3 linked regions of the Drosophila melanogaster genome follow. The protein of the gene in region 1 interacts with the protein of each later gene in a pairwise test. Each region holds a gene or a part of one and is shown in the gene's direction. Other genes may lie near its edges.

Region 1 (10,249 bases):
AGAGATTCAACACCAGCTGGGCAACTGCGTCAACGTGCTGGTCAAATGGCATTATAAGCCCAGCCGGGATCGGGATGTGGGCACCCTGACCAACCTGCTGTGCGGGGACGATGGTTTGGTCAAGTGTCTGGAGCAGGTCTTCCTCTGCGGCTTCCGGTCGGCGCGATTCTTTGGACGAAATCTGTACATCTGGGACTATTTCAGTAAGACACATAGACATTAGGGCTTTAATTTGCTTTATGAATAAACCTTTTACCATTACAGCCAAAATCAAGGAGCTGTTTGAACACAATCTGCAGATGGAGCTGGAGGACTCATCCTCAAGCCTAGACTCCTCGTTTAGCAATGGAAGCGGCAGCGGAGGAAACAGCCTGCAACGTCGGGAAATCTCCAGCATTTGGCGTCTGTACGTACAGCTTATGGACGAGATCAACGGCACGGCACTCGGCAAGGACGGCAAGTTCCAGCTGCTTATCTGCTTGAGCTTGCGGGAGCACCTGCTGACGCGTCTGATAAAGCCAATGGCCTTGACCAAGGTGACGCACGAGATGTACGAGGAGGAGAGCTTCCTTAGGCGTCGCAACCTCCTCACCTTTCTCATCCAAATCCTGGAGCCGCTGGACGACTGCCACATCGTGCTGGAAAACTCAATCACACAGGGCATTCGCATCGCGTCCCAATGCTGAGGATCGGATGCAATACCTAACGCTCCCACTGCAATACTCATGCCACATCTCACCCACGGACATTTGCAACCAGTGACCTAGAGAATACTCACATACATATGCTCTTGAGGAATCTCGGAACTCTCGAATTCGTTGTTAGCTTTTAATGCGAAGCGGAGGAACTCCTGCCCCTATTACACCTATTTCTAGTTCTAACTATAATCCCAAGCCTAGCCACTAACCACTTGCCATTCGACCCTTCGACAGCTTGCCAAGAAACAGAGTCAAACGCTGAACGTTTTAGGGTAATGGATGCCAGTCCCGGGAACACTGAAGCCAAAGTTGAACAAAATTCCTTGTCATCGACGCAATCGAATTTTAAAGACATTTACTGTGCAATTAAGACGTTTACTATAACAAATTCTAAAATGTTGTTCAAAAATCTCCATATATTTGAAACGTATGCGTGTGTGTAGCTTAGTAGATAAGGTGTCCCAATCCGAAACCAAATCCAGTCAATTATCCTGAGTTCCATTATCAACAGTAGCTTTTAGTTTAGTTGATTTTACCAAAGAATCTTTGTTTTTTATAACGACCAACTTATGGCGTACATATTTTTTGTATATTATTATATTTTGGTACTTGAGTGAGTGAAATGAGATTAACCCAAAGGTGTTTATGTTATAATCAAGCTTTATTTTTACACTTTAGCCAAACACGTTTGCAGACACTACCTTAAGACCCTGAAAGTCAATAAATACAAATACGCAAATGATATATACGATTTAGTTCGAATACCGCTGGAAAATCTACAAAATTCTGGAAGTTCCGCACAGATATAAATTTAATAAGGTCGTTACGAAAGACAGCCAGTTACCAAATATATTGTTGACGCCATTGCGAGCAAATGTTATGCGAACTCAAACCCATGGTCAACAATGTGTTCTGCATCCCAAAACGTTGTCGGTCGCTTGGGAACATTGGACGCCATCTCTCGCAAAATGTTTCCAGGAGGAGCATATCTCACCACTAGGTATCGCGTTTCCTGTCTGCGGAAGACGCAATTATCTTGCACTTCGTCTTGCCATGGAGAAGTAATTTTATCAGATACTCACATTCTGCCTAGTCCAACGCCAAGTCTGGTGGAGGCGTTCCATATCATGGCCGTAAACCTGTAATACTTTGTGTTCTCGGCGAAGCCTCGGTAATGAAACCAAATTCGAACACATTCCCTAGGCAAGGCCTCCCGGAAAACGCAGACGACTTGAAGGTGCTTTGCTGATATTGGGTCCGTTGCATACAGGTATTCCAAGTAGTTCTCTGTATATACACCTTCATTCCTGACTATTTCCTAGAGGACGATGAAGACTGTTCAATTTTAAATAATTTAGGATTTTATACTGAGGCTGAAATACTTGCATCTGCGTATTCTGAGCACTCTGTACAGAGTTCTTCGTCCAGAACCATGGGCTGATTACCGTACTTGGCCCTCCTTCGATTGTGAGCCTCCAGGATTAAGGAGCGAAGACCTATGCCGATTGTCTGGTTGCACTAGAAGGAAATGGGTTCTCAGACTGAAGAAAAATGTTAGATCGTACTACCTCGATGGCGATTAAAAACAAAATAATTTTTATGCTCATTGCTTGTTACTTATTTCGCAGAAAGATTTTCCAGAATATGACAATTTTCACATAGTATTATTAAATACGCAAGGTTTATGGAAACTTTATTAATATGATTTACAATTTCGAGAATTCGAGATTTCATGCTGTGAATGAACATGTTACGTTTTTGCCGCAAATGGTAGGTTTAGGATTCATAGCCAGTGTTATTTTTGAATTATTATTAAATTAAATTTAAATTTGACACTTTATTGTCATTCTACAAATTTAAAAATTGAATTTTTAAACTATTTCGATAACTGTTTAAAGTTCATTCATTCCACGACCCAAAACAGTGAAAGTATTCGATAAGATATCGGTCTCCCCATGCGTCATCGATGGTATCGAAATGGAACTGATGCGCTTCCACCTCTAACAACTTTTGTTCACTAGGGTTATTCGAAGTTGTGTTTGTGTCCGACGAACAACAAACGAATTGTTAACAGACCGAGTGGGGTGACTTGTGGTCCGCGTTTCGTGTGTGTGTCATTCCAGACGAAAACGAAGATTTGCTTCGACAAGCAGAGAAAAGAAGGGACCAGCTCCAATCGATAATCGAAAGAACCGTTCCGAGTTGGAAGAAAGTGGAAAGTAAGTGGAGAGTGGAAACTATTTTGGTTCGGTGCGTTTTTTCAATGCGGGTCACTGGGAAATGCAGACACATTCACGGTGCCGAGCGGATGACGTGAGCAGAAGGGAGAGAGAGCGAAAGCTTGTTCTCTGTCTTTTCTACAGAGGCCGAATGTGCGTTTTGGATTCTTGCTCCTCAAGGCTTGTTTACATAATCACCGTCTCCTGCTCTGCTCTGCTCTGTTTATTCCCCGCGACGAACAGCTGCTGCGCTGCCACCGCTTATCGATTTTTTCCTTCTCGCTTTTTGCAGCCGGCAAGACGACGCCATTAATTGGCCGTCGCCACGTCATGCTTGTCGTATGATTTTTCGTGTCCGAACTTGCAGTAGGTGAGCACCCGCCCCACGCCTCCGCTCTCTCAACATCTCGCTCGATGACGCGTCATTTTGGTGGCGTACTTTACCCTGCGATCGTACGATTTCCCCAGCGGCAGCGTCATTCCAATGGGGCAAGTGTTAGTCACGCTACGTGCTCCACTTTCCCAAGCGCCTTTTTACCGTTGCGTTGCGTGGTCGCTCTTTTCCAGCCAAACATAACAGAGTGGCGGAGAGCGAGAGAGTGCACGCGCGTGTTTGGAGAGATCACACGCACTATCAGAGTCAGCTGTTTCGGCTTCTCAATGAACTTCGTGTTCGGTGCGTAGGCGACTGAGAAAAAGAGACGGACATATACATATTTATATATGAACAACAATAGTTATAGGGCATTGTGCAATTTTTCTAGACAATCTTATCACTCGCCTTGGAGCCCTAAAGCGCTGTAAATGCTAAGTAGGGTGCCCCAGAAAAACGTGCCAGTGTGTTAACTACAGTTCCTACTCCCAGACCGATAGTTCCCAGAGCGTTCTCACACGTAGCATCCGAAAATCACAGTTGACGTCAACTGGGTTTTTCGGCTTATTCCGTTAAGTCCATTATTGATAAGCCCACGCCCCAAGGTTATCAATGCAAATTGCTTGTGTGCACCATGGAGTACACCCCACGATCAGTCTATAATTGTACTCCGATCGTAGCTTATCAATGGCGAAAGCACTCGTACGCACGCAGATTTGAATAAAGCCCGAGGTAGTCTTTGATACTCAGTGGGCTTGGGCTCACACACAGAACTGTACTTTCGACCTTTTGCTGTTGGCCAAAAGCGAACGAACATCCAATAGGCAAACTCCAAAATCATCTCTTACTTTGCCGTGAGATTCGGCAGAGTTCTTCGGCCTGTTAGGAAATGTTAGCCCCAAACTATGAGGTTTGAAACAATAGTTAATTGTATTAAAAAATGTGTTTATCTCCTCACGCTTCCCGCATGATCTAATTTAATTTGTTGTACCGAGTTATCTGAACACATCCGGTTTTCGTAGTGACACGAAAAACGTAACTAAATAATTATATCAACCATTAAGGGTCAATTACGGTTACATTTTTAGAACGACTTGCTTTTGTTCTTAGTGTAAATTTTCCATTTGTGTAAATATTTGCAAAGATTCTCTATGTTTGTTGAGTGCTTTTGAGATAATGGAAGTGGTTCCAAGGATTTTATTTACTAGAAAATACTATTAAGCAGCACTTTATGGCCAGCTTCTTCAAAACTATATTATAGATTTAAGAACATGGCTTCAACTATGTATTCATTTATTGTATATGATTGAAGTAGTAGCAGCTAATCACGTGATTTAATTACGATCTTGCTAGTAGTTTCCCACATTCCCCGATCGCAGGGTTAGCCTGACCTCTGTCTGAAGAAAATACGTACGATGTGTAGTCCGTAGAAGTGTATTATAATGAAATAAGTCCGTGCTGATAGCGAACTTGGCCCGCCATACGTTTTGCCAGGCTGGCAAAGATCAGGCGGTGTGATTGTCAGACATGCAGGGTGTTTGTCGAGTGCTAACCATAATTAAAGGCGAATTTGTCTTATCGCTGGAAACAGTGAAACATGGCTCGTTTCCGCCAAACGCATTTATCGTGTTTCCAGATACCCGCGATTCGCGATTCGAGTGCAGCGGAAGCGGCCGTCAGGCGCAGAAATATTGTTCTTCTCCGAGATAAGTTAGCAGCAGGTAGTTCAGGGGATCTTATCTCTCACCTGCTTTTAGTGCCCGGCAATTTGGGAATCGATTTTACGGGTTCCACACTTGTCCACTTCAAATGGAAATCTCCCCTGGCTTTGTTTACGTTTGGATTCGCTTCAATGGAGGTGGCACTTCGTCACCACAGTTTAAAAGCCAAAGTAATTACAGTAGGCACTCGCCAGTGAGATTAGATATGTTTGACTTGCTTTGCTATTACTTAAGATATTTGTTTCCAAAAATCATCGTGATACGAATTCATTTATTATCGCAAATTGTTAAATCACTTATATTTTTAATCTAAACTAGTGGCACAGTGATTTGAAAAAAAAAGAAACTATAGAAATCGTGAGTCATTACTGCTATGTTTTCAGAAAACAAAGGAAATCCTAGTAATTATTAGATTAAGCAATCAAGGAAACAACATAACTTTTGTCATTATTCATATTTTCATACATTTGAAGAACTGAAAGGTTTCTTATAGCGAGCAGTGACTGTAGATCGTACGACTCTGACTTATGACGTACGACAGCTGAAGATTGCCGAAGGTGCCCGAAATTCGACTTGGCAACAGAATTAGCATGTCCACGGGGAAGGTACAATAAATTCGTTAAATTTCAAACAGCGCTTACATCAGATCCGAAATTATTCAGAAAATCTCTCGGATTTTATTTTTATGGCTTGAACTTGAACTGTAAGCGGCTTCCAAGTGACTCACGTCCAAGGCAAATCTTGAACACAAAATCAAGCACTCTGCTCCCCTTTGGAGTCGCCAGGAGGGACTCCTCCAGATAAGGTGTAGAAATCTCTGACGTATTCCCAATGCCAAGAAATATGCAGACGCTATCCACACACGTAGATACATATGTAAATAGGCATGTGTGCCACGATGAATAAACATGGGAAATCGTCTACCTAAAATTATTGTTAGCCACGCACGAGACAGCTGACCGCACAGTGGGCCTATTTACAATATTATCGAAAGAAGCATTTAAAAAATGAGGAATTTCTACTTTTTCTATGACGTATTGTATATTTATTATGAACAATTATGTAGTTCCAAGCAAATGCCCCAAAATACGCAATGCTAATTATGTACATATGTGCACATATGACGATCTTGTTTAATTATTTCGCACGCAGCATCGTTTTTTTTTTTTGGCACAAAAACTGATTTAGAACGACCTTCGGGAAATTCGTCATTGAAAATTCCCGGTAGCTGAAATAATATGTACATATGACTTAACTAATCCCAACTGTAACTTCCTGCGTGCTGCTTTTGCTGGGTGTGCCATGGAGCACGAGAGGATTGGCGCCCAGCTCTCGGGGGGAATGGGTCATCGTGTCCGGCTCACGTGTTCCGTCTGCACTTGTTTACGTAAAGTGGCGCTGCATACTCGGAACTAGTTCTGCGCTGGGTTGGCCGCCCACCCTGCTGCCTTCCCCGCCAGCGCTTCACTTGCTCATCATCCCGCTCCTATCGAGAGTACTACGTGTCTCTGTATGTCTATTATTACCGACACCGAGCCGTGTTGTTGTTTACCCGCTGTTTCAGTTGCGTTTTTTTTTTCTGCGGAATTTCTCTGGTGCGATGCGCGTGGCGAATTGAATCGGCCATTTGGCAATTAAAACTGAAATCGATTTGGCCGTGGCTCAACTTCGAAGAAAAGGGGCGTGGCTGGGGGCGCGGGGTCAGGTGTCACGTGTCGTCAGCGCAAAACAGTCAGAACTACTGCCACCCGAGTCATAAATATTTGGGTTAATGAAAAGGGAATATCTGATTACATAAAAATGGTTTCACAAGAAAGTATCTTTCCATTAGCTGCGCGAATGTGTAATATATTTTTGCTTATGCACCAATGCATTAAATTGTAGTTCAAAAATAACTTTGTTTATTTCGAATTGTTTACTGCTTTATTGGATTTTATTTATAAATTGCTTGGTAAACAAGTGCATATGTGTCGATTAAACAAAACAAGAATACAACTTGTGTTGGTTCATTGAAGTAAAATTGTTATTCCTTTTTGAGAAAACTTATTAACCCTTTGGCTAAAAGTTACAAGTTGGAGTGGTGGAAAAATTGGCAAAGGGAAATTTGAATAAAATCCAGCGAATGAAGAAATTTGATAAATGATGCTTGCAACTACATATAAACAGAATGCAAAGCTAACCAAATGCGGTTTCAAAGAAAAACTTTATAATTTCATAAGACTAAATGTGATGTAAACGAAACGTAACACACAAAATATGGGAAAGTAATGTAGAGCATTGATGGTAACCAATCTGTTTCTCGATCTCTTCCAGCTGAAAGTCAATTGAATCTCTGTTCCTCCGTCACCGCGTCGCGAAGCCGTTAAAACTGCCGCTCCCAAACATTCGCTGCGATGGCCACCTCATCGATACTCGCCAAAAGCACAATTAATAGCACATCGCCACCGGCCACGCCCAGCAGCAGCGCGTCCCCCGGCTCCACACTGACCACCCGGAAGCGGACCTACGAGATAGCCATTGCCATGCCCTCGTCCACCGCCTCCAGCAGCGCCACAAAGGTATCGGAAGTTCAGGATCAGCGCACAAACAGCCCCGGCAAGTCCAAGAGCAGGCCCGGCCAGCTGGAGAGTGTCTTGGTGGTCGGCGAGGGAGCCAGCGAGCCCACCACCTCGGCCACCACACTGCGGGACAGCACACGCACCATCTCACAAAGCGACGCCGACGATGGCGGCGAAGCGGCAGCCGCCGAGGACCTGCTGCCCCCACAGTCGGATTACCTCAACGGCGTCAAGCGGAAGTACGTCCCGCAGCAGCAGGCGTCGCCGAATCACCGGGTGGTGCCCGCATCCACCTCGCAGCAATTCTTCAGCGGGGCCTCCGATTTTGCGGTAAGTAGTCAAGAGTTAGGATGCAAAGTTAGTCTAAATCGTAGTAGCTGAAATCGTTTGAAATTGATGTTCGAGTCGTGAGTCGTATATTTCCGACGATGTGTGATAAGATCGAGAAAGAATGTGTAGACCAAGGACACAATCGTCCAGTTGAATAGCCCAACTAATCGGGAACTTTTCTTCCTGCAGACAATTTGCAAGCCGGCGCCCTACTCTCACGACGAGGAGGCCATGCTGGAGCGGGATAGATGTGACTACACTCAAAGGATCACCTACCAGATGGCCCGCTCCGGACAGACGACCCGCAGGGTGAGGGTCTACGCCGATGGCATCTACGATCTTTTCCACCAGGGCCACGCCCGCCAACTAATGCAGGCCAAGAACATCTTTCCCAACGTGTACTTAATTGTGGGCGTGTGCAACGACGAGCTCACCCACCGCATGAAGGGACGCACCGTGATGAACGGCTTCGAGCGATACGAGGGAGTGCGTCACTGCCGCTATGTGGACGAGGTATGTTCTGCCCGGCACTGATTAGAGATCTTTCAGTCTATAGCATCTTACTCTGTCTTGCAGATCGTCCAGAATGCGCCATGGACTCTGTCCGATGAATTCATCGCCGACAACAAAATCGACTTTGTGGCCCACGACGACATTCCGTATGTAACCGATGGCATGGACGACATCTATGCTCCTCTCAAGGCGCGCGGCATGTTTGTGGCCACGGAGCGCACTGAGGGTGTGTCCACCTCGGACATCGTAGCCCGGATCGTCAAGGATTACGATCTGTATGTGCGTCGTAATCTGGCCAGAGGCTATTCGGCCAAGGAACTCAATGTGTCGTTCCTGTCCGAGAAGAAGTTCCGGCTGCAGAACAAGATGGACGAGCTGAAGTCGCGCGGCAAGCGCGAGCTGAGCAAGGTGAAGGTGGACATCATCACCAAGTGGGAGGAGAAGTCGCGCGAATTCATCGACACCTTCCTGCTGCTGTTCGGACGTGAGAACCTGAATCATTTGTGGAACGAGTCGAAGGGCAAGCTGCTGCAGGCACTCAGTCCGCCGGGCAGCCCGTCGGGATCAGTGAACGGTGATGACACGGAGGGCGGCGAGGACTACAGCGAAACTATTGACGAGTACTTGGAGATGGCCGAGAAGTTGAGCGGGGGCAGCGGCAGCGGCAGCAGTGGATCGCTGAACGGCAAACAGAGGCCGAAGCAGAAGCGCTCCTCGCTGGCCCGCCGCAGTTACCAGAGTCTGCAGAGCCAATCACCCGACTTGGAAGCGGATGGGGACGAGGATGCGGATGCGGATGCGGAGTACGAGCGTCGAAGCAATTGATTCTATTGCGGGGCAGCCCGATCTTTTCTTCTTCTCTTAATGTCTTTAATGCTATTGTAAATGGACTTGCTTGCAACTAGTTCGACGGCACACTATAGATGCCCCAGGATCGCCACGCAGGCTCCACGAACACACACTTATATTTACTCTAGCCCTAAGTGGTATTGTAATCCCAATGTTTTAGTTGGCACTCGTTCTCCTCCTGCCTCAACTCCACCTGCCCATCTCCATCTGTGAGAATCGAGGGAATCCTGTAGCTAATTTAGCTGTGTGTGTGTGTGTGTGGGACAAGCAACCACCAACGCGGAAAAGACTCATTTTTGTATTAGGCACTCGACGGACTGTGCACGAAATCAATCGGCAGTGGCGGCAGATTCAGGTGCCGAAAATATCTAGAAATATTTATATTAAATTATTTCGCATAACATTAAACTAAGTTAACAACACCGCAACCAGAACACCAACCAATATAGAGAAATCCAAACAAACAAATTACGAAATACATTCGGAAAATGCAAAAAACAAAAACAAGTAATTAGTAACAGTTGGCAATAGCGGAACTATTGCAAATGCTTTGTTAAATATTTTTTGAAAAATAAACATTGAATCGAAAGGAAATAGAAGTAAAGCGAGTGGCTTGTGAATCAGTTTGCTATCTCATACGTTTATCCAGCAATTGCGCATCCGATTCAGCAGCCATCCATGGCACTGCTGGAATTCTTGAGCGCGCGCCACCGATGATGATGAAACCGTTTGCCTTGATTGGACACCCATTCCCTCGCAATTAGCTGCCCATTCACCGGCTTGAAGCGGTTCACTGATTTGTTTAATGGCGCTGCGGTTTATATATAGATGCGCACCCATCGCCTGATCGAATCGGCGGACCCGTGCCAAGTCAGGCGACCGACCCGTTGCTTCCTATTTGCTTGCGCCGCAATTTGCGGCAATTGAAGATGAGCGATGAATCCGAGCCAGAGACTTGGGCCTGAGACTGCTAGAGCCGCCTCCAAGT
Region 2 (9,901 bases), 6.6 Mb from region 1:
GCTTTTCCATATCAGATTGGCACCCATCCGTCTGGATCTATATAAGTGGACCGTCGCTGGCCCTGAGCACTTTCAATGTCGCCATGTTCGCCCTGACAGCCATTTACATTAGGAAAGTGAAGGGGGGTATAAATAAGTTCACAAATGAGGAGGAGGGAAGGATTAACTGCATAAACTTTGACAGCCAGACGTAAGATATGATAAAACCTTGGACCTTGGTAAACTAGTTATCCTTGCCGTATTATCCACATAGTTACCTACAGTTCCTGCGGCTCTCCATCGTGATGGGCCTTACTTGGATATTCAATGTCATTCCGTATTCTGCACGGCTCCACATTTTCTGGGAATGGGTCGGGATAATATCCGAGTATTTTCACAGCGCGTTTGGAATTGTTTTGTTCGTTCTGCTCGTCCTGAAGCGCAGCACATGGACTCTAATGATGGATTCTTAAGCTTGTTTCTATATAATTCTAATAATTGTTTACAATTAAAGCTTTAAACAATTAAAGCCCCTCATTTTATTAATATCCTTTGCTGAACGAAGGAATTGAATTGAATTTTATTGAACTCAATAAATAAATATAGTTTTAGAAAACGATGTACTTTAAACTGCCAAGAGGTCACCGCGACAAGCTTTTCACTTCGCCACCCTCTGGTAACACTGATTCTCCAGCCACTTTCGATTCTTTAAAAAACATCGATAGGTATCGCCAAAAAAATCAGCTGCTCTGCTTGTAGTTTTGCGATTTCATTGCAATTTTAATTTGCTTTACTGTTCAAAAAGAAATACAGTGCAAAATATGCCGAACGAAAACGCAGAGGACCTCTCGGGTCAAGAGCTAAAGCAGAAGGCCAAGGAGGTGGCCGACGCATCGGAGGCAATGCTCGAAAAGGTTGTTGCCGGCTTAAATATCCAGGACACGGCATCGACGAATGCAGCAGGAAACGAGGATGCGGAGCAGCCTGATGGTGCCAAGAATGAGGCTTCAGTGTCTGCGAATGCAAGTAAGTTTTCAATATGCCTGTGAAAAGTCATTTAGAGGCTCCTCCTGCGGCTGAAAAAATGAGGTTAGGTTTTGTCGGGAACTACAGTCCAACCTCTCTAACTTGAACTGCTGTGCTATTCATTTCAATTCAATTTTCAATTTTCATTTTCTGTGCAATTACTCCAAAGATTAGCCCTAACGGAAAAATAAACAACTCATAAATCATAAATACATATTTGATTTTGATGAAATATGAATATACTTACATAGATACAATTGAGTTTTTTATTACGAATAAAATATGTGTAATATAAGATTTCTACCTTGTTGATTCCATTGATTGATGCTTCATTGAAACCCCAAAATTGGGCAAATTTGTTGTCATGGGAAACTAGTCCACTGTCGTGATGCCTTAAGCTTTTTTTGGGGCAGATTAGTCATTCCAGTTTAAACTAATCGAAAAATGTTATAATACTATTCAACGCATCATCGTTTCTTTCAGGCAAACAGGCCTTGCTACAAGCCGTTTCCGATGCTATGGCCAGCACCCGTCAGATGGCCAAGAAGTTTGCATTTTGGTCCACACAGCCAGTCACCAAGCTGGACGAGCAGGTGACCACCAACGAATGCATTGAACCGAACAAGGAAATTAGTGAGATTAGAGCATTGCCATACACTCTGCCAGGCGGCTTCAAATGGGTGACACTAGACCTGAACGACGCCAATGATCTCAAGGAGCTGTACACGCTGCTCAATGAGAACTATGTGGAGGACGATGATGCCATGTTCCGTTTCGATTACCAACCCGAGTTTCTAAAGTGGTCGCTGCAGCCACCTGGCTGGAAACGCGATTGGCATGTTGGCGTTCGTGTGGAGAAGTCCGGCAAACTGGTTGGCTTCATCTCAGCCATTCCCAGCAAGCTGAAGTCGTACGACAAGGTGCTAAAGGTTGTGGACATCAACTTCCTATGCGTCCACAAGAAGTTGCGCAGCAAACGGGTGGCTCCAGTCCTGATTCGGGAGATAACGCGTCGCGTCAATCTGACGGGGATTTTCCAGGCGGCCTATACAGCTGGAGTTGTGTTGCCCACGCCAGTGGCCACCTGTCGCTATTGGCATCGATCGCTCAATCCCAAGAAGCTGGTAGACGTGCGTTTCTCTCATCTCGCACGTAACATGACCATGCAGCGGACAATGAAGCTGTACAAGCTACCCGATCAGCCCAAGACGAAGGGCTATCGCCGAATCACAGCGAAGGACATGGACAAGGCCCACAAGCTGCTGGAGGACTACCTAAAGCGCTTTCAGCTGAGCCCGGTGTTCAGCAAGGAAGAGTTTCGTCATTGGTTTACCCCCAAAGAAGGTATTATCGATTGCTTCGTGGTTGCCGACGAAAAGGGCAACATCACTGATCTGACTAGCTACTACTGCCTGCCATCGTCCGTGATGCACCATCCGGTGCATAAGACGGTTCGTGCCGCATATTCGTTCTATAATGTGTCTACAAAGACCCCGTGGCTGGACCTGATGAACGATGCACTGATCTCGGCCCGCAATGTCCAGATGGACGTGTACAATGCCCTCGACCTCATGGAGAACAAGAAGTACTTTGCACCGCTAAAATTCGGCGCCGGGGATGGAAACCTGCAGTACTACCTCTACAATTGGCGCTGTCCATCGATGCAGCCGGAGGAGATTGCTCTGATACTCATGTAGTCACCTTGTCACCTAAGCTCACATTCTCGCCCTGCCTTTCACAGCTCCCCTCCTCCGCTTTCTTCACCCTGCTGGAAGTGCCGTGCGGCTGCTTTGCTTTGCTCCTATTTACGTAGCTATTACCTGTAATCTTCAGTTATTCCAGCGAGGAAAGCCCTTTGCGAGCATACACCTAAATAGCATCATTGTGAAAATTGCATTTTGCAACGGCCAAGCTTCGATATTTTTTACTACAAGAACGAACACAAATTGTATAAAATGCGCAGCAATATCAATAAAAATGTAACGTTTACTTGGACCTTTATTGCCTATAATTGACAATAAATTATTTTGCTGCTCTTTTAAAGATGACAAGTTTTTATTTTTTTTAAGCAGATTATTGTATTTTTGCCCACTGTCCCAGCATGTGATAGTCTGGCCACTCTGTCACATGGCCATTGGTCTGGCAAGGTCGGTGAAAAAGCGCGCGCTAAGCAAAACAGCTGCACTTGTGTTGGTTTATTAGTTAACGAAATCTGATTCCAATGTTGGTTTCCTCATAATATTGACAATTAAAGACAGCCGCCGACATGGACGATTCGGTGTTCAAGCTAAAATACCAAAAGTACAAGTTGCGCGTCAAGGTGTGGGAGAAGGACTTCAAGAAGAAGAATGGCCGTGTTCCATCGAAGGTGAGATTGGGATGCGGATATGACAAGTATGCTAACTGGTTGACCTGTTGCAGTATGATATAAGGGACGCCAGTCAGGAGATTCGGGACTCATACAAAATGTACTACAAACTGAAGACATCCTTCCTGGAAGAGACGCTGAACGATGTTCTCAGCGAAGATGGATACGATATTCTGGAGATGTCGCAGGCCAGTGATTTCGGTGTGAGCATGCTGGACCAGGACGTCAGTCTTAATGAAGGTCCTCAGCTACCGTTGGATATATCTGCACTGGTGGGGCCGCAGAGCTCTGGTAATCTTGAGGAAATTCCACAATCGGTGGAGGGCTCATTCTCAAATCTCATCGACCTGCCCAATCGTCAAGTACTCACCAATCTGGTCAATCGCGATGAAAACCATGTCATTCGCAAATTCGAGGCGGTGGAGGAGCTGCCAATCAACCAAAATGCCTGGGGCTTGAATGTGAGTAAGAAGCCACCAGCTCCACCACAGCCTGTAGAGGCCTCCAAATCCGCTCCGGGGCACGGAAAGCAACCCAAAGCGGGCGCTAGTCTTAAGCCCAGCTTGAGTGCCAAGTTATTCCAATCCTCACGCGGTTTTGCTAAACGAAATCCCCGAAAGCCGCTTTCACGTTGTGTCAGTTCCTCTAGTTCCACCACATCACTTAGCTCAGTTCCTACTGATCATCACGAGGAACTGCTCGACTTTGAGACCATACTCATACGCAAAGCCCAGGAGTACAAGGAGAAGCAGCAGGCCATAGCTAACAATCCAATGCTGGCCAGTGAGCACAGCAAGGAAAGTATCAAAACACTGGTGGACGACGGCTGGCTCCGGCGAAATACAAAGGAAAACACTCTTGATGAAGAAGTGCCCTTTGCGGAAGCAAATAATAACAGTGGTACGTCCAAGAAAACAAACTTTGGCCTGGCCAATCTTGATTTAAGTAAACTAAAGCCCACTGTTAAGGAGGAAAAAGTGTTGCAGGCCAAGCCCGATCAAATGGCAATCATACAGGAGCTGCAAACAGATATGAATTCTAGCATGAACCAGAAACCAGATCATCTTAATCACACACCTCCTGCATCCAGTCAAAAATCAGTCGCTCCTAAAAATAAACCTCCACCTTCCGAGCAGGAAACCGATTCGGATTCCGACTCTGTTGTGGCTGAGAGTGAAGAAGAGCAGGAACCACAAGAATATCGGCAACTATCAAAACGTCGCAAAATTGTTTCAACAGCATCAGGAAAAGTGGAAGTAGCCGCCCCAGTTGAAATTCCCAACAAAGTCGAACCAGAGACAGAAACATTTGCTCAAGAGAATCCAGATTTCTCTGCAGATGAAGACCAGGATGCTACATATGTACCAGAGAATAAAAAGAAAGATAAGGCAAAGCGCAAGCAAGCCGCCGGAAAACAAAAGACCACTAAGCCCAAAGCGGAACCAAAACCGAAAACAGAAAAGAAAGCCAAAGTCAAGGCCGAAAAGAAACCCAAGGCGGAGAAAAAGCCGAGGAACTCTAAAAAAGCCATCGCTGTCGAGCCGGCTCCTGATCCAGAAGAGGATGAGCGCCAACCATTGAATCCAGAAGATTTGAAATACGTGTTGGCCTTGGAGGCGGGAGATATTACCTCCGTTCCGCGCATTAATGTGCAGGATCTAGAAGAAGCGGATGCTACCGCCCAGCGCTATATTAGAACCTTCGCCGCTGGACCCAACCCAGGATTGTCGGAAGGGTCCAACATTCGAGTGGATGAAAAGAGAGCCGCAGCACGAAAGAAGCTGGAGGAACGCATAGCAGCTGGTAAATTAAACGAGAACTTTGTGACCATAAATATTCAAAAGAAAAAATTCGTGCGTGGCAAAAAGTCCGTGAACTTCAGCAAGTACAAGAAGCAACAGTGGCGGCATAAGAAACGAGTGGCTGCCTTGAGTGGGCCGGACATGGATATGGGTGGCTGTGATGGCGGAGTGCTCACGTGCTTCCAGTGCGGCGGAGTCGGGCATTTCGCTCAGCAGTGCAAGGTGAAGGGAGACAGCTTGTTGCCACTTTCGGCACAGCTGGAAGAGGATCCCTCGCCGTTTCCCACGCTTGCCGAGGCTCAGGAGATGGCCAGTCAGGGAGCAGTGGTGGCACACAGTCGCAACATCTCACGGCTGCCCCAAGCGGCCAATGCAGCCATCCTGCAAGGCGATGAGTTGAACGAGTCAGAGGAAGATGACCAAGAAAGCAGCGGAGATGAGGAGGTACAGCAGCATCCAGATCCAAATTGGTCTAGCGATGAAATGGACGTTGATTTCGAGGCCCTAGATGCGGCCGTCGAAGCTTCCCTAAGCCAACCGGTTTCGCAAGAGAAAGCAGCTTCACCTATTAAGACATACGTCGGCCACAAGATTCCCGAGGAGTTCCTCAAGCAGGCTGGACTGGACACCACAGCCTCTAGTTCGAATCGCAGCCAGCACGGTGGGGTGAAGCCCCTATACGATCTCCTTCCGGATGGCAGTGTCCAGGACACGACGCCAGAGGTCCTAGAGGCACTCCACATGTTCGGGCACACCAACTTCAGGAAAGGTCAAGATCGCGCCATCATGCGCACTCTCTCTGGACTATCATCGCTAGTTACACTTAGCACGGGCAGCGGCAAATCTTTGTGCTACCAATTGCCCGCCTATTTGTATAGCCGGAAAGTGGGAGCTATTACCCTAGTCATCTCACCATTGGTGTCACTTATGGAGGATCAGGTGACCGGGGTGCCGCACTTTCTGCGAGCTCACTGCCTGCACACTAATCAGACCGCGCCGCAGCGTATGAAGATTCAGCAGATGATTGCCAATGGGGAGATTGACATTCTTCTTGTCTCTCCGGAGGCGGTTGTCGCCGGGGAACGAGCCACAGGATTTGGAGCCATTCTTCGCCAGCTGCCGCCCATTGCATTCGCTTGTATTGATGAGGCGCATTGCGTGTCTCAGTGGAGTCACAACTTTCGACCCAGCTACCTAATGATCTGCAAGGTGCTGAGAAAGAATCTCGGTGTACGCACAGTGCTGGGGCTAACAGCCACGGCAACTTTGCCAACGCGTGTTAGCATTATAAATCACCTTGGCATATCGGATGGAGAACGTGGTATTATAAGCGACATCCCACTGCCTGACAATCTAGTGCTGTCCGTCTCCAAGGATGAGAACCGGGATGCAGCTCTGCTCCAACTGCTCAATAGCGAACGGTAAGACTTGGCCCACCATCTTTGAAACTTGAAGGAGACTTAAATACATTTTGATCATTCTAGCTTCGAGCCCTGCCAGTCCATTATTATCTATTGTACGCGTCGTGACGAGTGTGAGCGTATCGCTGGGTTTATTAGAACGTGCGTGCAAGACCGTAGGGAGCCAACTCAGGATCAGACGAAAAAACGTAAACGTGTGAATTGGCAGGCTGAGCCCTATCACGCTGGAATGCCCGCTTCCAGGCGACGAACCGTTCAGAAGGCCTTCATGAGCAATGAGCTGCGCATTGTGGTGGCCACCATTGCCTTTGGTATGGGCATCAATAAGCCGGACATACGCGCGGTAATCCATTATAATATGCCAAGAAACTTTGAGAGCTATGTGCAGGAAATTGGTCGAGCAGGACGCGACGGGTTGCCTTCCCACTGTCACCTCTTCTTGGATGCGAAGGGTGGCGACCAGAGTGAGCTGCGTCGCCATGTGTATTCTAACTCCATTGATCGGCATGTTATCCGTAAGCTGCTGCAAAAGATCTTTGTGCCATGTAGCTGTGACAAGGAGGCTTCCAAGAGGACAGCTCTTCCGATTCCCCTTGAAGGTGATGGTCCTAGAGTGCATATGTGTCCGGGACACGAGATTGGCTTTTCCGTGGAGAAAACCGTTGAGATGCTGGACATCCCGGCGGAGAACATATCTACTTTGCTCTGCTACATGGAGCTTGATCCCCGATGGTGCATCAGTGTGCTCAGCTCAGCATATGTGATGGCTAAGGTAATCTCGTATGGTGGGCCAAAGTACTTGAAGTAAGTCCTTTAGACACGTGTATTGTGTATGTGTTTAATGTTATTGGTTTTTCCTTGCACAGGCATGCTGCAAAGGAATGTCCACCATTGGCCATGGCTATTGCTTTGCAGATTAGAGATAAGACATTCAAGGAGGACTCTAACATCATAGAATTCTCGGTCACAGATATCGCGGCAGGAATTGGCTGGAACAGTGGTGTGGTCAAATACCAACTGAAGGATCTGGAGTGGGTAAAAGGTGAGATGGTAATCCGTTCAAAAAAGGATCCGTTTAATTAGAAATTAATTTTTCGATAGTAAATGGATATCCCAAGCGATCGCCCATCACGGTGAGCTTCTATGATTTGGGATTCCGCATCAAGGTGCCGGGCGATTTTACCGAATCAGAGATCGACAACGCTCTGGACACTCTCTATACGCGATCCGTGAAACAGGAGCGTACGCAGCTCATCCAGCTGCAATATGTGGCCCATGGATTGGCTGCTGTGGCCTACAGCTCTTGTGGCCAGTGCTGCAATGCGGATTTTCCGCAGGATCGGGGCGAGCAGCTAAAGGCTATCGTGCGCAACTACTTTGCCAATGACTACCCACAGGATCTGGAGCTGGAAATAGAGGTAATTGCTTGGCAACACATTTCAATTTCTTACTTTTATTGCTTTCCTCTCTGTCCATTAGCCAAGTAACGTGCCGGATGAGAACATCATAGACGACGTTCATGCTCTAATAAACATGTACCCGGACAATACATTTACCGGACGTAATATTGCGCGCATCTTTCATGGCATCATGAGCCCGAACTATCCGGCTGTCATCTGGGGACGCTGTAAGTTCTGGCGTGCCCACGTCAAAGTGGATTTCAATCGCATCCTGCACCTGGCCAATATGGCTATTATCAAGAGGCGTACGTGACCGTAATGTCGGGATGAACCGCCGATACCATGGTTAACCAATTAATAGCTCCAAGAATTTTAAAAATATGTGATGCCATTCAATAACATTTTACTCGCACAAGTCTGATAATACAAAAATAAATTACAAATTCTATATAAACAGCTTTTGTACTTATTATGAGTGGAAAGAGAAATTCGTACGGACAATCTAAATTTTTAGCTTGGTTTTTAAACTCTCTAAATCTATGTGTTTCATTAGCTAATAAATTTGCACCATACAATCCCACGCCAATGGAACAATAACAATTTATGATAATTTCATTGCCGAAAACAACAGAGCACTAAAATAAAGTAAACAAATGCCAAGCTCGTTTAGAGGCAAATTGCAGCTACGGCTTCAAATGAAACAGCAGAAATCAATTCGATGGAGCCCGTAAAGAAACAAACATCCGGCTGAGTCATTCCCAATAACATCACGAAATGTATAACCCCGGTCGAAGGTGTCATCTTCAAATCGAAGCCTAGCCAAAGGTCGTCCTTCCTCAGTTCACACGAACGCGAAGCAAACAACCCAACAAATGGGGGGATCTAACAACAACTCAGGGCACAGACAACTGGAAACAGAGAAACATCATTGAAGTTGTCGGATCAGCGAAGCGTTTGATAAAGGTTTTTTATGACTTGGCCATTTTGTGAGGCCTTTGGCTTCTCGTGCCGATGTTGTTTATAATCATAAACGAGACTCGAGTACACAAAAGTCGACCCAATTACAACTTGTTTGTTCTGAGAGTGAGACGTCAACGTCATCATCCTCGCTCCATGATCATCCACATTGTGCAGATGGCCAGCGAAGCCATCGAGCAGCAAGCTGACCTTGCCTCCAATTTTACTCCAATTTCGAGGCATAAAAGCGAAAATCAATTGAAATGGTAGCAGGCAAATACCACAATGCAAGCAACGAGATAGGAAATAATAAAAAATAAAGGAAAAACTAAAAGCAACGAGCAACTTGACTGGCCAGCTAGCTGATGCAACGGACAACATGGCGTATGCTGAATATTAAACAATTGCTGACATTCCAAAGAAAATACCTTGAGATGGGCTTGCTTTACAAGGAATATATAGACTTCGATTTTGTATTATGATTGCTAATGTTGAGAATTCTTCAACGACAACAGTTTATGTTGAAAGCATAGAAGATCTTTACATTGCTATCATATATCGAAACACTATTTCCCCTCGCTCACTAGCCAACTTTAGCACTTTGCTGACAATTTACGTACCTGCTTTAGGCCACATTCTGTTGGCCAACCGACCAACCGTTCGATTGAGTTCAACTACGGCTATGGCTAAAGGCTACCAGAGCTGACCCTGTTCGCACCTCGTTATGCATCCACTGGCATTTGGCCGTGCTCCTTCATAAGTACTCTAGTATCTGGGCAATGTGATCTCCTCTCGTTTTACTCATGCCATTTTCTGCATGAAATTTCCCCCAAAGCGCTGTCTATCGGCATCATCATCATCCACTGTGAACTTTGCAATCCGATCAGGCTGGGTTCAGATGGTTTTGGCCTTCTAGACAGTTTCTTTTATGTTTTTGAATGGATCTTC
Region 3 (4,977 bases), 7.2 Mb from region 1:
GTCTTCTGATAGGTTTTGCCCCAGAACCCACAACAGTTCGAATTGTATGCATTGCTTGACGCTTGTTTATTGATGTATCATCTCAGCCCCGCCGCCCGCAGCCGCATTCATCGCTCTCCAAATGATCTGCTCCGATCTGCAAAGCAGCCAGTACAAGCAGCACAGCCAACTGTAGGATCTGCAGATTGAAATTACCATTAATGTGTCCATGCCGATGAAACCATAATCATCTCATCTCACCTTGCAACGCAGACTACTCATTTTGTAAGCGTTTGGAGACAGTTTTCTGATCTTGTCATCGGCAGCTCGGCTCTTATAAAGTCTGAGGGCCCTGGCCCAAACGTGTCGTTTATCTAGATTAGCCTCCGCTAAATATCTTGTTCAACAAGCTGGCTATATCGGACTTGTGATGGATGTTCAGATCCGTCAATCTTGGCTTGAGGTTTCAGCCGACTTACATTTGCATTGTATTGCGAATAATGTTACTATTTAATATTTATCGTGTCGTCGTTGGCGCTAGTTCCAGTTTCCAGTCTTATAATATTTTTACTTAATTCCTAAGAGCAAAGCAACTAGCTTAAATCCCAATAAAGCAATCTTGAAGAGAAAATGCATACGGAGAAAGATCGTTTTCACTCGTCTTCTGGCTACTGGATGCTGGTACCCTGAGCCTGGCCAACATCTAAATAATTTATTATTCATTATTAAATGTTTGCGCCCGCCCATAAGCCATTCACAATTTGTGTAGCGCCAATTGAATGTTATAAAAAGCTTAGTGCGGCAGTTTGGAAAGTGGAACGGTTGTGTTTATAATTTTATTGTAATTTTATCTCAATTTTTTTTGCTTTTGTATATAAATTCTACCAACGCAGCAGAATTTTCAGGCCACTGCCTTGACTTCACTGTGTCACTGAAAAATCGGTGTCAAGCTCTCGGCACCGTGGGGCAAAGCAACTGCAATACTGATCGAAACTATGCGGATCCGGAGCACGAAGAGTCATGCGGTCGGAATCTTACGTAATGGGTCTCGTCTCTGGTAGACGATGGCGTAAGCACAGACGCCTGCTATCTGGACCGGCCCGAATTGAGAGCCAGCATTTTGGCCAGTGCGGATTCGGCCTGGCTGCACGTCTCCGGCGGCGTCTCAAGATTGCTGGACAAAGAGGCGAGGCCTGGAACTGCGTCTGCGGGAACCCGGAGAGCCGAAACTTGCATCATATTCGTCACGTAAGAGTTGGGCCTCTGCCTGGATCTGGTATAAAAACAAAACATTGCGCCAGAATAAGACATTAGTTACCTTCGCATCGATCAACTAACCAACTCAGCCTCAGAATGATGAAGTTCATGGTAAGCCTTAAGTTCCAATATTGTTTCTATTGACACCTCAACTGAGTCCAGTATGATCCTTTCAATAAAATATAACTACATATTATAATAATTGGATAATATGATTGGATCTTTCTTTTCTAATACACTTCAGTCTAAACCCAAATTAATTGAATTTTTTCTTGAATCCCTTAGTGCATCTGCCTCTGCGCCATCTCTGCCGTTTCGGCCAACTCCTACGGACGTTCCCGTGGTGGATACGGTGGTGCCCCAGTCGGTGGCTATGCCTACCAGGTGCAGCCTGCCCTGACCGTTAAGGCGATCGTTCCCTCATACGGTGGTGGATACGGCGGAAACCATGGAGGATATGGCGGTGCCTACGAGTCGGTGCCTGTGCCCGTGTCCTCTGCCTACAGCGGTGCCAATGTGGGATCTCAGTACTCCGGTTCCGGCTACGGCGGTGCCCCACCAGTTGATGCCCAGGCCATTGCCCTCGCCAAGCTCGCCCTGGCCGCTCCCAGCGCTGGAGCTCCTCTGGTCTGGAAGGAGGCTCCCCGCTACGCCCAGCCCGTCTATCCCCCCACCAGCTACGTGAACCAGGAGTACGGACACAGCGAGAAGGTGAAGGGAGGCTCCGCAGCCGCTGCTGCCAGCTCCGTGGCCGCCGGAAAGAAGGGCTACAAGAGGCCCAGCTACTAAGTGGCAAAACGTTGAACAGTGAACCAAAAACTTACCTGCCCATAAGGAACTAGGTCATAATAATAAAAGCCAAAACATCAAGACTTAAAATTTTGAGTACTGTATTCTTGCTGGGTTTTTAGTTTCGGGCCGAGAATTGAGATCTGCATATCTTAGCTGAATTGGCATAGACTTGCGGTTCATTGCAATGCCAAGCGATACTTTGAGCCAGCAAAAATTTCGTGGTTTCGTAGTTAAATGAAAATGCTGCTTAAAGTGCTAAAGAATAATTCTCATGGCGAATGAAGCTGAAAAGCTAAAACTAAATTCATTTGTGGGGCCACTTTAAAACTATAGTTCGTCAAATAAGCCTTGACTTTTTTAAGTTACCATAAGTAAAGAACCTATTAGATAAAATGAGATTAGATAGAATATAGTTTTGCTTGAAATTATGTTTTTGTAAAATTTCAAAATGATTGAAATACTTTAAAATGTTTTAGTTATAATTTTAAGTTTTGTATGTGACTAGTGGTCACTTTAAAGGGATGATTCTATATAGGTTTTATCAGAAAAACCGGCTGGAACCAGTTCTAGAAGAATCCTCACTTAGACAAGCCAAGTTCCGGACACAACCGACCTGGAAACCATTACCCCCGAGAATGTGGATAATATAAAGTTCAATTCAACAAATTTTGGACTGTATTCGAAAATAAACGCGTTCGTGGTTCCCATTTGGAAGAGTCGCGTGTTCGTAGTGCTATCACTACCCAACACCCGGTAGAATAGCACATCGCGTAACCAAGCGATTTTATAATGGCTTGACAACAAGTACATAAATCAAATGTGAGTATATTCCAGCCGGGCAATTATGAAATGCCATTTCTGGGCTGAAACAGAACAATTAGTGTATATAGGTCACGTAAATGTCCAGGCTAAAATTTGCGTATAAAAGCGAGCGTTTCTGGTCGGTAAATCATAGTTTGATTGATTACCCCAAACCAACAAAACTAAGCACTCACCATGAAGTACCTGGTAAGTTGTGGTAGTCCCCGTGAAGGAGTGGCAGCCAACTGATCCTCCGGATTTCCCCTTTTCACCTTCAGATTGTCTGCGTTACCCTGGCCCTTTTCGCCTACATCAACGCCAGCCCAGCGTACGGCAACCGTGGAGGTTATGGTGGTGGCTACGGTGGTGGCTACGGTCCTGTTCAGCGCGTCGTCTACGAGGAGGTGCCCGCCTACGGACCATCCCGTGGCTACAACAGCTATCCCCGCAGCCTGCGATCGGAGGGTAATGGAGGAAGTGCCGCTGCCGCTGCCGCCGCTTCCGCCGCTGCCGTGAATCCCGGAACCTACAAGCAGTACGCCATTCCCTCCTACGAGTTGGATGGCGCTCGCGGCTACGAGATCGGACACGGCTACGGCCAACGTGCTTACTAATTCTCGCTTCATCGGCAGTGAATTGAACTATCGACTCCTTGCTAAAATCCTCGAGTGGCTGTCATGGCGAAACTCTGAGAATCAGTGAATAAAAGCAGCTTGAACGCAATGGAAAATACCGAAAAGAAATACGTATTGTGTGTTTTGCATTGTGACATACTTTTCAGCGCATTCGGGTTAAGATTTAGCGGTGGGTCATTATTATTATTCCACACACAAGATGGGTTTCAAAGTGGGGCAGCTAGAATATTCACTGCGGCAGATTGTACAATACTATATAGAAGTACTATTGCACTTTAAGCTACAAAGTCGACAGGTTAAGCTTCAGTGACTCAAGAATTTAGTCACCTATGAAACCCTTAGTTTCACTAATAGATTCTTAGACGAACATCTTAAATTGTATAATCAAACAAAGGGCTATATATATTACAATAACATATTTGCCAATGTGCATAAAGGCATAGACTCTGAAGTTATGTTTTATCGTTAAAATTTGGTTTGTTCTGTTTACTTGAAGGTATAGATAATATTATAAAATCCATATCCAATAACCATTGGTCAGTCGTTGGCCCGTTATCCCATTAACCCGCTTGCGTTCCCGCACGCACCCAAATGCAACCATTGATTTTGGGCCTCAGTTGGGAGCATCTGCATCTGCCACCCCCAACGAAGGTCAACCGGCGAATGGAGGCGATACGATACGCTGCGGTGAGCAACCTGCTCGAGCCGAAACGAGCTCAACGTGGAGCCCCGATATCTGGCTAGGAAAAGCTAGAAATCCACAGAAAGTTCCCCAACAAACTGGCCGAGAAGAGACGACGAAGCCAGCTCTTGAGCCGTGATAAATTTCTGGGCGAGATCACGTTTCGAGTGCAACAATAAATTTGCTTATATAAAGAAGTGTGCTTGGCCATTTAATATGTTAATTCAGCCAACTGTGCCAAAACCCATACATCATAGCCATGAACAAGTTCGCTGTAAGTGTCCCTGAGAACCGCTTCCGTATTCCCTGCCGCTCTTTCATTTTCCGGACTTATGCTAACTGAAAGTTTTCCTGATTTTCCAGACTCTGGCAGTCATCTTCTGCGCCTGCATCGTGGGCAGCTGCTACGCCAACTACGGTGGCCAGCAGAGCTACGGACAGCGATCTTACGGTCAGGATAGCTCCGCCGCCTCCGCCGCCAGCTCAGCAGCTGCTGCTGGAGCCGAGGGTCAGCAGCGTTATGAGCGCCCCGTGGAGATCATCGCCGGCGGTTACCGCGGCAGCTATGCCCCCGAGATCCTGCGTCCCATCCAGGTCAGCGGTGGATATGGCGGTGAGCGACGTGGCTACAACGGTGGCAACTACCGTCGTGCCGGCTACGGACCCCGTTGGACTGTCCAGCCCGCCGGTGCCACCCTCCTGTACCCCGGCCAGAACAACTACAAGGCTTACGTCTCGCCCCCGGAGTACAGCAAGGTGATCCTGCCCATCCGCCCTGCTGCTCCAGTGGCCAAGCTTTTCGTCCCAGAGAACCAGTATGGCAACCAGTAC

Evidence for each region. The genes of interacting proteins can lie anywhere in the genome.
Region 2: the proteins of Pcyt1 (region 1) and RecQ4 interact in a two-hybrid assay, tested with the Drosophila melanogaster proteins (one large-scale study listed by BioGRID).
Region 3: the proteins of Pcyt1 (region 1) and Cp15 interact in a two-hybrid assay, tested with the Drosophila melanogaster proteins (one large-scale study listed by BioGRID).

The regions. Positions count from the first base shown.
Region 1 is NT_037436.4:1,543,390-1,553,638, forward strand, and holds Pcyt1 (phosphocholine cytidylyltransferase 1), read left to right. Parts: upstream 1-2,702; 5' UTR 2,703-2,917; intron 2,918-3,209; exon of another isoform or gene 3,210-3,287; intron 3,288-3,942; exon of another isoform or gene 3,943-4,200; intron 4,201-4,875; exon of another isoform or gene 4,876-5,011; intron 5,012-6,058; exon of another isoform or gene 6,059-6,521; intron 6,522-7,324; 5' UTR 7,325-7,404; coding exon 7,405-7,899; intron 7,900-8,088; coding exon 8,089-8,412; intron 8,413-8,475; coding exon 8,476-9,237; 3' UTR 9,238-10,115; downstream 10,116-10,249. Other genes in the region: pns (pinstripe), read left to right, coding at 1-203, 265-686; CG32313 (uncharacterized protein), read right to left, coding at 1,576-1,714, 1,781-2,016, 2,085-2,216, 2,264-2,305.
Region 2 is NT_037436.4:8,169,227-8,179,127, reverse strand, and holds RecQ4 (RecQ4 helicase), read left to right. Parts: upstream 1-3,149; 5' UTR 3,150-3,271; coding exon 3,272-3,373; intron 3,374-3,426; coding exon 3,427-6,596; intron 6,597-6,659; coding exon 6,660-7,400; intron 7,401-7,462; coding exon 7,463-7,638; intron 7,639-7,697; coding exon 7,698-8,014; intron 8,015-8,075; coding exon 8,076-8,309; 3' UTR 8,310-8,488; downstream 8,489-9,901. Other genes in the region: mthl7 (methuselah-like 7), read left to right, coding at 16-190, 254-452; Nmt (N-myristoyl transferase), read left to right, coding at 801-1,005, 1,489-2,702.
Region 3 is NT_037436.4:8,725,503-8,730,479, forward strand, and holds Cp15 (chorion protein 15), read left to right. Parts: upstream 1-2,978; 5' UTR 2,979-3,024; coding exon 3,025-3,036; intron 3,037-3,107; coding exon 3,108-3,443; 3' UTR 3,444-3,564; downstream 3,565-4,977. Other genes in the region: CG6511 (uncharacterized protein), read left to right, coding at 1-9; CG43965 (uncharacterized protein), read right to left, coding at 83-178, 241-261; Cp18 (chorion protein 18), read left to right, coding at 1,333-1,347, 1,522-2,025; Cp19 (chorion protein 19), read left to right, coding at 4,406-4,420, 4,510-4,977. UniProt on the Drosophila melanogaster protein: Chorion membrane (egg shell) protein; plays a role in protecting the egg from the environment.